Bombyx mori: one gene and its partner. The protein of the gene in region 1 interacts with the protein of each later gene in a biochemical or structural test. Links are inferred from orthologs where the notes say so. Each region holds a gene or a part of one and is shown on either strand. Other genes may lie near its edges. The genes, in order: mitogen-activated protein kinase kinase kinase 4 and dual specificity mitogen-activated protein kinase kinase 4.

What was found.
Region 2: the proteins of mitogen-activated protein kinase kinase kinase 4 (region 1) and dual specificity mitogen-activated protein kinase kinase 4 form a complex in vitro, tested with the Homo sapiens proteins (2 studies listed by BioGRID, with this or other methods). The link is inferred for Bombyx mori from reciprocal best matches to the Homo sapiens genes MAP3K4 and MAP2K4.

Annotation. Positions count from the first base shown.
Region 1 is NC_085112.1:511,985-515,815, forward strand, and holds part of mitogen-activated protein kinase kinase kinase 4, read left to right. Parts: coding exon 1-10; intron 11-1,642; coding exon 1,643-1,745; intron 1,746-2,276; coding exon 2,277-2,461; intron 2,462-2,538; coding exon 2,539-2,706; intron 2,707-3,831. UniProt on the Homo sapiens protein: Component of a protein kinase signal transduction cascade. Activates the CSBP2, P38 and JNK MAPK pathways, but not the ERK pathway. Specifically phosphorylates and activates MAP2K4 and MAP2K6.
Region 2 is NC_085123.1:7,701,466-7,705,296, forward strand, and holds part of dual specificity mitogen-activated protein kinase kinase 4, read left to right. Parts: intron 1-469; coding exon 470-690; intron 691-1,361; coding exon 1,362-1,545; 3' UTR 1,546-3,831. UniProt on the Homo sapiens protein: Dual specificity protein kinase which acts as an essential component of the MAP kinase signal transduction pathway. Essential component of the stress-activated protein kinase/c-Jun N-terminal kinase (SAP/JNK) signaling pathway.

The DNA of each region.
Region 1 (3,831 bases):
CCGCCTGCACGTACGCACCCCCATTAACTCCGCCCAACAATTAATCTTGTCACTTCAAGATCCAAAATTACACGTTGCTAATATTTTGTGCATTGAATCTAATTTGGGGAGTTTGTACGAAGGAACTCTCCGAATCCTGATCACGGAGCCAGTTACCGTCGACGCCCTAGACACTTGCTTACGGATCCATTAGATCCAATAACTCTTGCATTAGTCGCCTTCAGCTCTAACGCTAGGCGCAAGCTTATGAATCCCGGTAACCGTACTTGTCGAATTCGGCAAAGAGTTCGACGTGCAACTAACTTAATAGGAGTGGGTAATATCGGTTTTGCCGCGTATCGAATCGTATCTATATATCGAGGATCAATATCGGATATTGAATCTATATATTTTCTGAATCTATATATTGATGGATGCTAGTAGATTTTCTCGATTCATGATATTTGAGATTTGAAACGATACGCTGATATAATATCGTAGTAGATATAGATTTAAGTCAACGTTATACGGTTGGTTTTCTGATATCAATTTATAATATGATTTTAAAGTAATAAAAAGAACATGAAAATAAAAATATCAAAAAAACTTTCCTTCATGCTTTTATCAGGCTTAGGACTGGCTACATTATTTTCAGTTTTTAGTATTTTGTATCTTAATTTAAAATTACAAAATATACCAAAAGAGTGTAGATTTCAAAAGTTTAATACAAACACAAGAAATAAACTCAATTATTTGGATTCAACTAAAAATAGAAAAATGTGTACTTTAAAAATCAAACACAAAAAACTTTTAAGTATTTATAAACACTTGTCCAAAAATTGCAGTTCAAGGTCAAAGCGCGTGAAATTAAATTGTATCCTGCTGATACGCTAAGAATAATCTACAGACATATGGACTTAAATATAAGGTTTACAATTGTATGGATAATGCCTGTTTCTGTTTCATTCATCACATGATATCGTGCGCTCACTCACTCTGGCCGATTCGATACGAACCAAACGAATATTGCTGATATTTACGAATCGGTACGATATGCCGATGCGCATCACATCGAGTAATATCGTGTATCGACTGATATCGTTATATAGATTTCGATTCACGAATCGGTACGATATGCCGATGCGCATCACATCGAGCAATATCGTGTATCGGCCGATATCGATATATAGATTTCGTGCGGGGCGATATCGGATTCAACGATATTGCTGCGATATATAGATATTGAATCTAGATACGATTTATATCGCCCACTCCTATAACTTAAACATCAGCCCGCTGATTTTCTCGCCGGATTTTCTCAGCGGGTCGCGATTCCGATCCGGTGGTAGACTCTGCGAAGCACGGCTCTTGCTAGGACCAGTGTTAGCAAATTCTCTCAGGTTGAGCATATGAGCTCACCTAGTCGTCCGCACGTGGCTGAAATAGCCCCTTAGGTTACCAGCGAATAAGTAAGGAAAAAAAAGCTACACTGGTGCACTTTCATAAATGGTAAAAAGTTAATAACACTAAATTAAAAACACCAAAAAGTCCCCCTTGTTCTGTTTGTTATATGCTGCCGTAAACATTATGCATTGCGACATATTTTATAATTAATACAAGCATCAGGGTTAAGAGTGAACCTTGTCTATGCATGTGGGTGTAGAGTCCACTGTCCAACGCGTCGCTGCACAAGGACGTGCCCGCGCCGCCCACCCCGCCCAGCGAGCCCGAGCCGCTGCTGTGCTTCCCCGGCGCGGAGAACACGCGTGAGTACGCTCAGACACCAACATATATGTCGTGGGTAACGACTTCTCTAATATTAAGACATTGTATTGATTAAATGATAAAATATTGTTTTGATAAATATCACAAAAATGTAGGGTAGACGTCGTAACGCCAAAGTATAAAATGGCGTATATATAATACTAATGGCGAATATAAAATACGTGGACAGAGTCGTCTCAGTCTGTCAGTCAGTATCAGTCAGTCAGTCCGTCAGTCGGTCAGTTGAAACGAAACTGTCGGTTTACCCTTTTATTTATTTATTTAACCACAATCAAAATCACATATAAACATGTAAAAAGTGAACAGAGAAGAGAAATTTAAGTTAAAAAAAACAAAAGCAACATTGTGAAAATTATTTGCTTAGAATTTCAATAATAATATTCAAAAAGTTTTATTGACTTTTATCGCAATAAACTAACTTCTACCGAATACGAATGATGACGGAACTCCCGCTCAGCCATCCGTGACGCCATCATATATTTGTTTACCTTTAAAAAACTGATTTGTTATAGTACACAGCAGAAGAGTAACCGAAGCGATATCTCGAGTGGAGTTCGCGAGAGAGCAGAGACTGCGGGAGTCCAAGAGCGTGGGCAGGGTGCTGGAGGCCGCCGTCACCAGCTACGAGCCCAAGCTGAGGCAGCTCACGTTCAAGTGGCAGCGCGGATTGAAGATCGGCGCCGGCTCGTTCGGCAAGGTACTGTGGTCAGCAGCACGTGGAGTGCGGTAGAGTGCCGTAGAGTGATGCAGAGTGACGGAGGTTGTGGTGCGCAGGTGTACACGGTGGTGAACACGGAGAGCGGGCAGCTGCTGGCCATGAAGGAGCTGAGCGTGGGCGCGGGCGACCGGCGCGGGCTGCAGCGCGCCGCCAACGAGCTGCGCGTGCTGGAGGGCGTGGCGCACCCGCACCTCGTGCGCTACTACGGCTGCGAGCTGCACCGGGTGCGTGCACACCACACACCTGAACCTTTGTACCGTTGTCCCGATGATAGGGAAATGTTTTAAAATTACTGGTGGACCTGTTGTGAGTCCGCGCGGGTAGGTGTACCACCGCCCCGCATATTTCTGCCGTGAAGCAGCAATGCGTTTAGGTTTGAAGGGTGGGGCAGCCGTTGTGACTAATACTTGAGACCTTAGAACTTATATCTCAAGGTGGGTGGCGCATTTACGTTGTAGATGTCTGTGGGCTCCAGTAACCACACAGTAAACACAGTGGGCTGTGAGCTCGTCCACCCACCTAAGCAATAAAAAAAAACTTTATTATACTCCTTAACGCGATCCTGTACAATACGACCGACGTAACTTGACGAGTCTGAATATAGCCGCAGGTCAACTTTCGCGCATTTACACTCGTAAAAAAAAGTGTTATTGTCATTCATTTTTTTTAAATCAAAATACGAATTAAAACTTCCATATACAGAGACCAAGTACAAATAAAATTAATATCAAAACACTATGAGAGAGAAAGCTATAAAAATAATGTAATAAATTAAAGAGAAATAATAAATTAAGACTGAAAGCTGTAAAAATAACGTAATTAAATTAATTAGAAAGTAATCCCGAAACATTGCCTTCAGTTGCGATCCGCTGTACTGTGCGTTGCGATACACCAGCTGCGTTAGTAACTCTTAAAAAACTGTCAAAATATTTTACGCCTTCTTCTTTTTCTTTTTTAAAAAAGCTGCATTAGATCAAAAATTGTTTTTCTCGCCTGGCGATATAAAACACTATTATGCTTTGGTGGCATCTTTGTTGACGAATAATATAAATGCCAAGGGACACTTAATACTAAAACAAACTTAAACACAAACAAATTTAAAACTAAACAAAAACAGTATAATAATAACAAATCAATAAAAAGTTTCGTAGCCGCCCGTACTCAAGACAGAGATAGCGACACGAACACGACACTAATGCTAACGTGTGAGTGAGACACATTACCGCGTGCCGAGAATTACCGAATATGCACGAATTTATACGATGACAAGAAAAAGGGATGTCCAATATGCGTGTTTGAGGATGTCGTTTAATCGATTTTTTTTTTCAAATTGATTGAAATTTAAATAA
Region 2 (3,831 bases), on another chromosome or scaffold:
GATGCTATAGTTTGAATACCAATTGCCCTCATTGCAACAAAAGATACAAGTCTCAATACCTTCATACTTGTTACGCAATTTAGAAAGAAGTCATGTAAGCCAAGGCTATGAGAGGAAAGCAGATAAGAAAATGCATGCTTGTAAAGTGGCAACAAATCATTAAAGAAAATCGTGAATCTACTCTGATAGCTATTCTGCCTAGCCTCATGCTTAGAAGATTCATTTCAGTTTTAAAAGTGTAATAGGTTACATATATATAGTTATAGCTTTGACCTTATTCATATTGCTAAGTAGGTAATGGCCCTCTCATTATGTTTGTGTGCTCTGGACACCTCATAAGTACAAAATGGATAATGAGGTCCTTTCGCTGTTAGTTACTCTATTATACAATGATTGACGTTGAATTAAAAGACAGCACCCTTCACCAGTCAAACTGTTATAGAATTGTAAACAAAAACTTTTGTTTCAGCCGGAAAGAATTGATCCAGGCCGTGCAAGAGGTTATGATGTACGCTCAGATGTTTGGTCTTTAGGTATTACTTTGATGGAAGTGGCTACTGGTGCATTTCCGTACCCAAGATGGGGATCTGTATTTGAACAGCTACAGCAAGTGGTTCAAGGGGACCCGCCACGTCTTTCATCCAATAACAACATGTTTTCAAACAGCTTCGTTAACTTCGTTAATACTTGGTAAGTATAAATCCACATTAAAGATTATGAAATCGATCGTTAGGTATAAAATTATAACTTTTAGTACCATTACTTAGCCCCCTTATGTTGTGCGGTTACAGAAGTAAATCCTTAAACTCCAATGTGAATCTGCTGCCCATGTTGAGGCATAAGAATGAAGTCTTCATTACATCAATACAATGGTTGCCTTATATCTGATCAATTTAACCAATCTTCTGCAATCAGACTGTCCAAAGTTATGAACAAGTTGGTCAAGGTCATGATCTGTTGTTTGGAGAACATTTATCAGCAGAAGAATATTTCTTAGCACTTTGCCACCGTTCAACTAGGTTCAAGATGTTGGGGTGTTTGAGATTTACGATAGATTTTCAAGATAAGCTCATTAGTGGCTCTCGTGACGTTCCTTATTATATTATTTATTATTACATTATAATATATTTTTTTCTTTATTTCTGTTATGTACGTATTACATTAGAAAAGTTGGTAACGGCCTGCGAGATTAACACCGTTCCATCGCCTGATACGAATGCAACGGGCGTTTTATCCTTTAGGCCAGGAAGACTCATCTTAAAAGCCTTGCCTTGTTTTCGTTTGTAATATAGAATTTTAAGTTACAAGCGCTCACCGATGACTGTATTCCAACGAATATACATTTGAAATATTTATTTTAGCCTTATAAAAGAAGAAACACAGAGACCTAAGTATAACAGGTTACTGGAACACCCATTCATCAAAGGAATAGACCAAAGTCGATCAGATGTTGCTGCATATGTTTGCGAGATCTTAGAATCAATGGAACGGAATGGAGTGAGTCCTTTCACAACAGACCAGCCTGCTCAAGCCTGGGTAGATTAATCACAGTTTTCAGGAACTAGTTTAGTGTGCGTGACCAATATGGTTTAGAGTGAAATCTCATGAAAATTTTGTTTTTAATAAGCAAACTGCTCAAACTGTTTTTTGGGAGTTTTGACTTTATGGTACGATCGTCTACAATAAGCGGCACGGATTTTGAGTGCTGATCTTCACCTGCACTTAAGCCAGTCTTTGCGCGTCTTTAGTGGTACGAATTCCAGGTATTTTTATTATATCATTAGGCTGTTGGCTCACTACGACTATCTGTTGTTATTTACTTTGTTCTCTGAAATTCAAAAAGAACTCCCGACGAGTATACTTCAGTACGACTTTAATTAGTTTTCATTATATTTTGCTTACTATTTTTTGATGATCTGTTTTGAAAGAAAACATGTATACATGTTAAAAATTATAAAATCATAGGGTGTCCGACAATGGGTATATCAAGCCGAAACGTGGCTCTAGTATCAACAATGTAAATCATGTTTAATATGTAAAAAAATCTAAATCGTAATTAGTAGATTCATACAAAAACTAATTTATAATAATTGTTTCAACTGTTCGAAGGCAACCCTGAATTTATACAATAAAAGTACCGTTAGGCCATTCATTCAGTCAAGTCGCATCTGAACAAGATAGACAATAACAAATTCATTTTAACTCCTAAACAAAACCAAAAAATGCAACCGTGTTATTATTAGGTACCTACAAAAGTCAAAAACTAAAAAAAGAATCAAACTTATTACGGCATTGTTACTAAATTTCACCTCTATCGTAAAGGCAAAAGCAGGTTGATGTGCCGGCGCTTGTGGAGTGTTTAGGGTCATTTCGCCTGCTTGCGTCCACTTAGTGCAGTTGGCAAGTTTGAAGGAGAAAATAAAAATGTCCCAACACTAGGTAATTTCAATGAAAAGTTTATGTAATGTGTTCATTATAATAGTCTATTTTAAGGTAACTTAGTTTTTGCGAAACATCTTGTATTTTTATTTTGAAAGACAAACTTCAGAATTAGGCGTTTTACCCACTTTGCCTCCATAAAAATCAATTTGCGTCCACCCGCTGGACCACTTGGCGTCCATCAGCTTAGCAAAGGTATTAAAGGATGATATTTTTATGATATTAAAGCGAGATTGGATTTTAATACTTTATTTATTAAAGATGATTGATGATGATGAAAGATGATTATTATAGCCTTAGAATTTTAATTAATGACACAAGTCACATTCAAAAGACATGTTTGGCCTCTAAATAACTTAATCCTACTAATCGCGTGCATTTCAGATGATATGATCTAATACACTTGTCACAGCCAATGTTTTTCTCATCGTCCTCTTCTACATTTGAAATTAGTATATCGTCACATTCAGGACATTTCACTCGTTCCACGCCTGGTAAATTTTCTTTCTCAATTTCCACATCTATCCTTTTCTTTGTGACTTCTTCAAGAGGGGGTGTATTTCGTTTTTTCATTTCAGAGCAGTTTTACGAACCGTTTGAGGGTGTTTTAAAGTTTTTTTTTCTGTTCTTGCTTTTCTATTAGTTCTCTTTATTCTCTTCTCTTCGTTATCTTCATAATACTTTCATTCTCTTCATAATACTTTCTCCATGCAGCAGAAGATATGGCTGGAGTTCTTTGATAATTTTTTCATGCTTTGTTAGAAATTTCAGGCAGCATCAGGTGCTTTTCAAATGGATCAGAGGTTTTCTTTTGTGTTAGTATTTCAACAACTGCTGAAGCTGGTGGTACTCGAGGAGGTAGCGATACAGCTGATGCTGTATGAATCGAAGAAGTCAAAGCCGTTTCTGGCGTTTGTTCCTTAGTAAGGGTTTATTTTTCAACACTAGACATAGAGGGCGATGATGCAATCTCTTCAAATGGTAGAATTAGAACGTCGTCTAAAGACGCGACAGAGCCGGCGTTGAGGTAATTGCCAGAAAGATGTAATGTCAAAAGGGACAAGTCAGGAAACGAATCGTTTTTGTTGATATCGAGAGTTGAATTATTCGGATATCTCACGTCAAGTTGAGCAGATGTTACATTTCTATTTTTAGTGGTTATTATTGATATGAAAGTCTCGGCTAATGGTTTTGGTTGTGAAAATATTAGGGCTGATAGATACTATTTGAACCTGTACAGTAGGATCTGAGTTAGCTTGATCACTTTCGTTTTCGGTTTCTTCGTGTAGTGAAGAGATGAAGATTTCTTTAGTTGTATCCAATTTACAGTCAATGAGATTAAAAATGGTACTTTTTTTTTCTATTGAAAGTTCCATATTATGTGACTTCTCA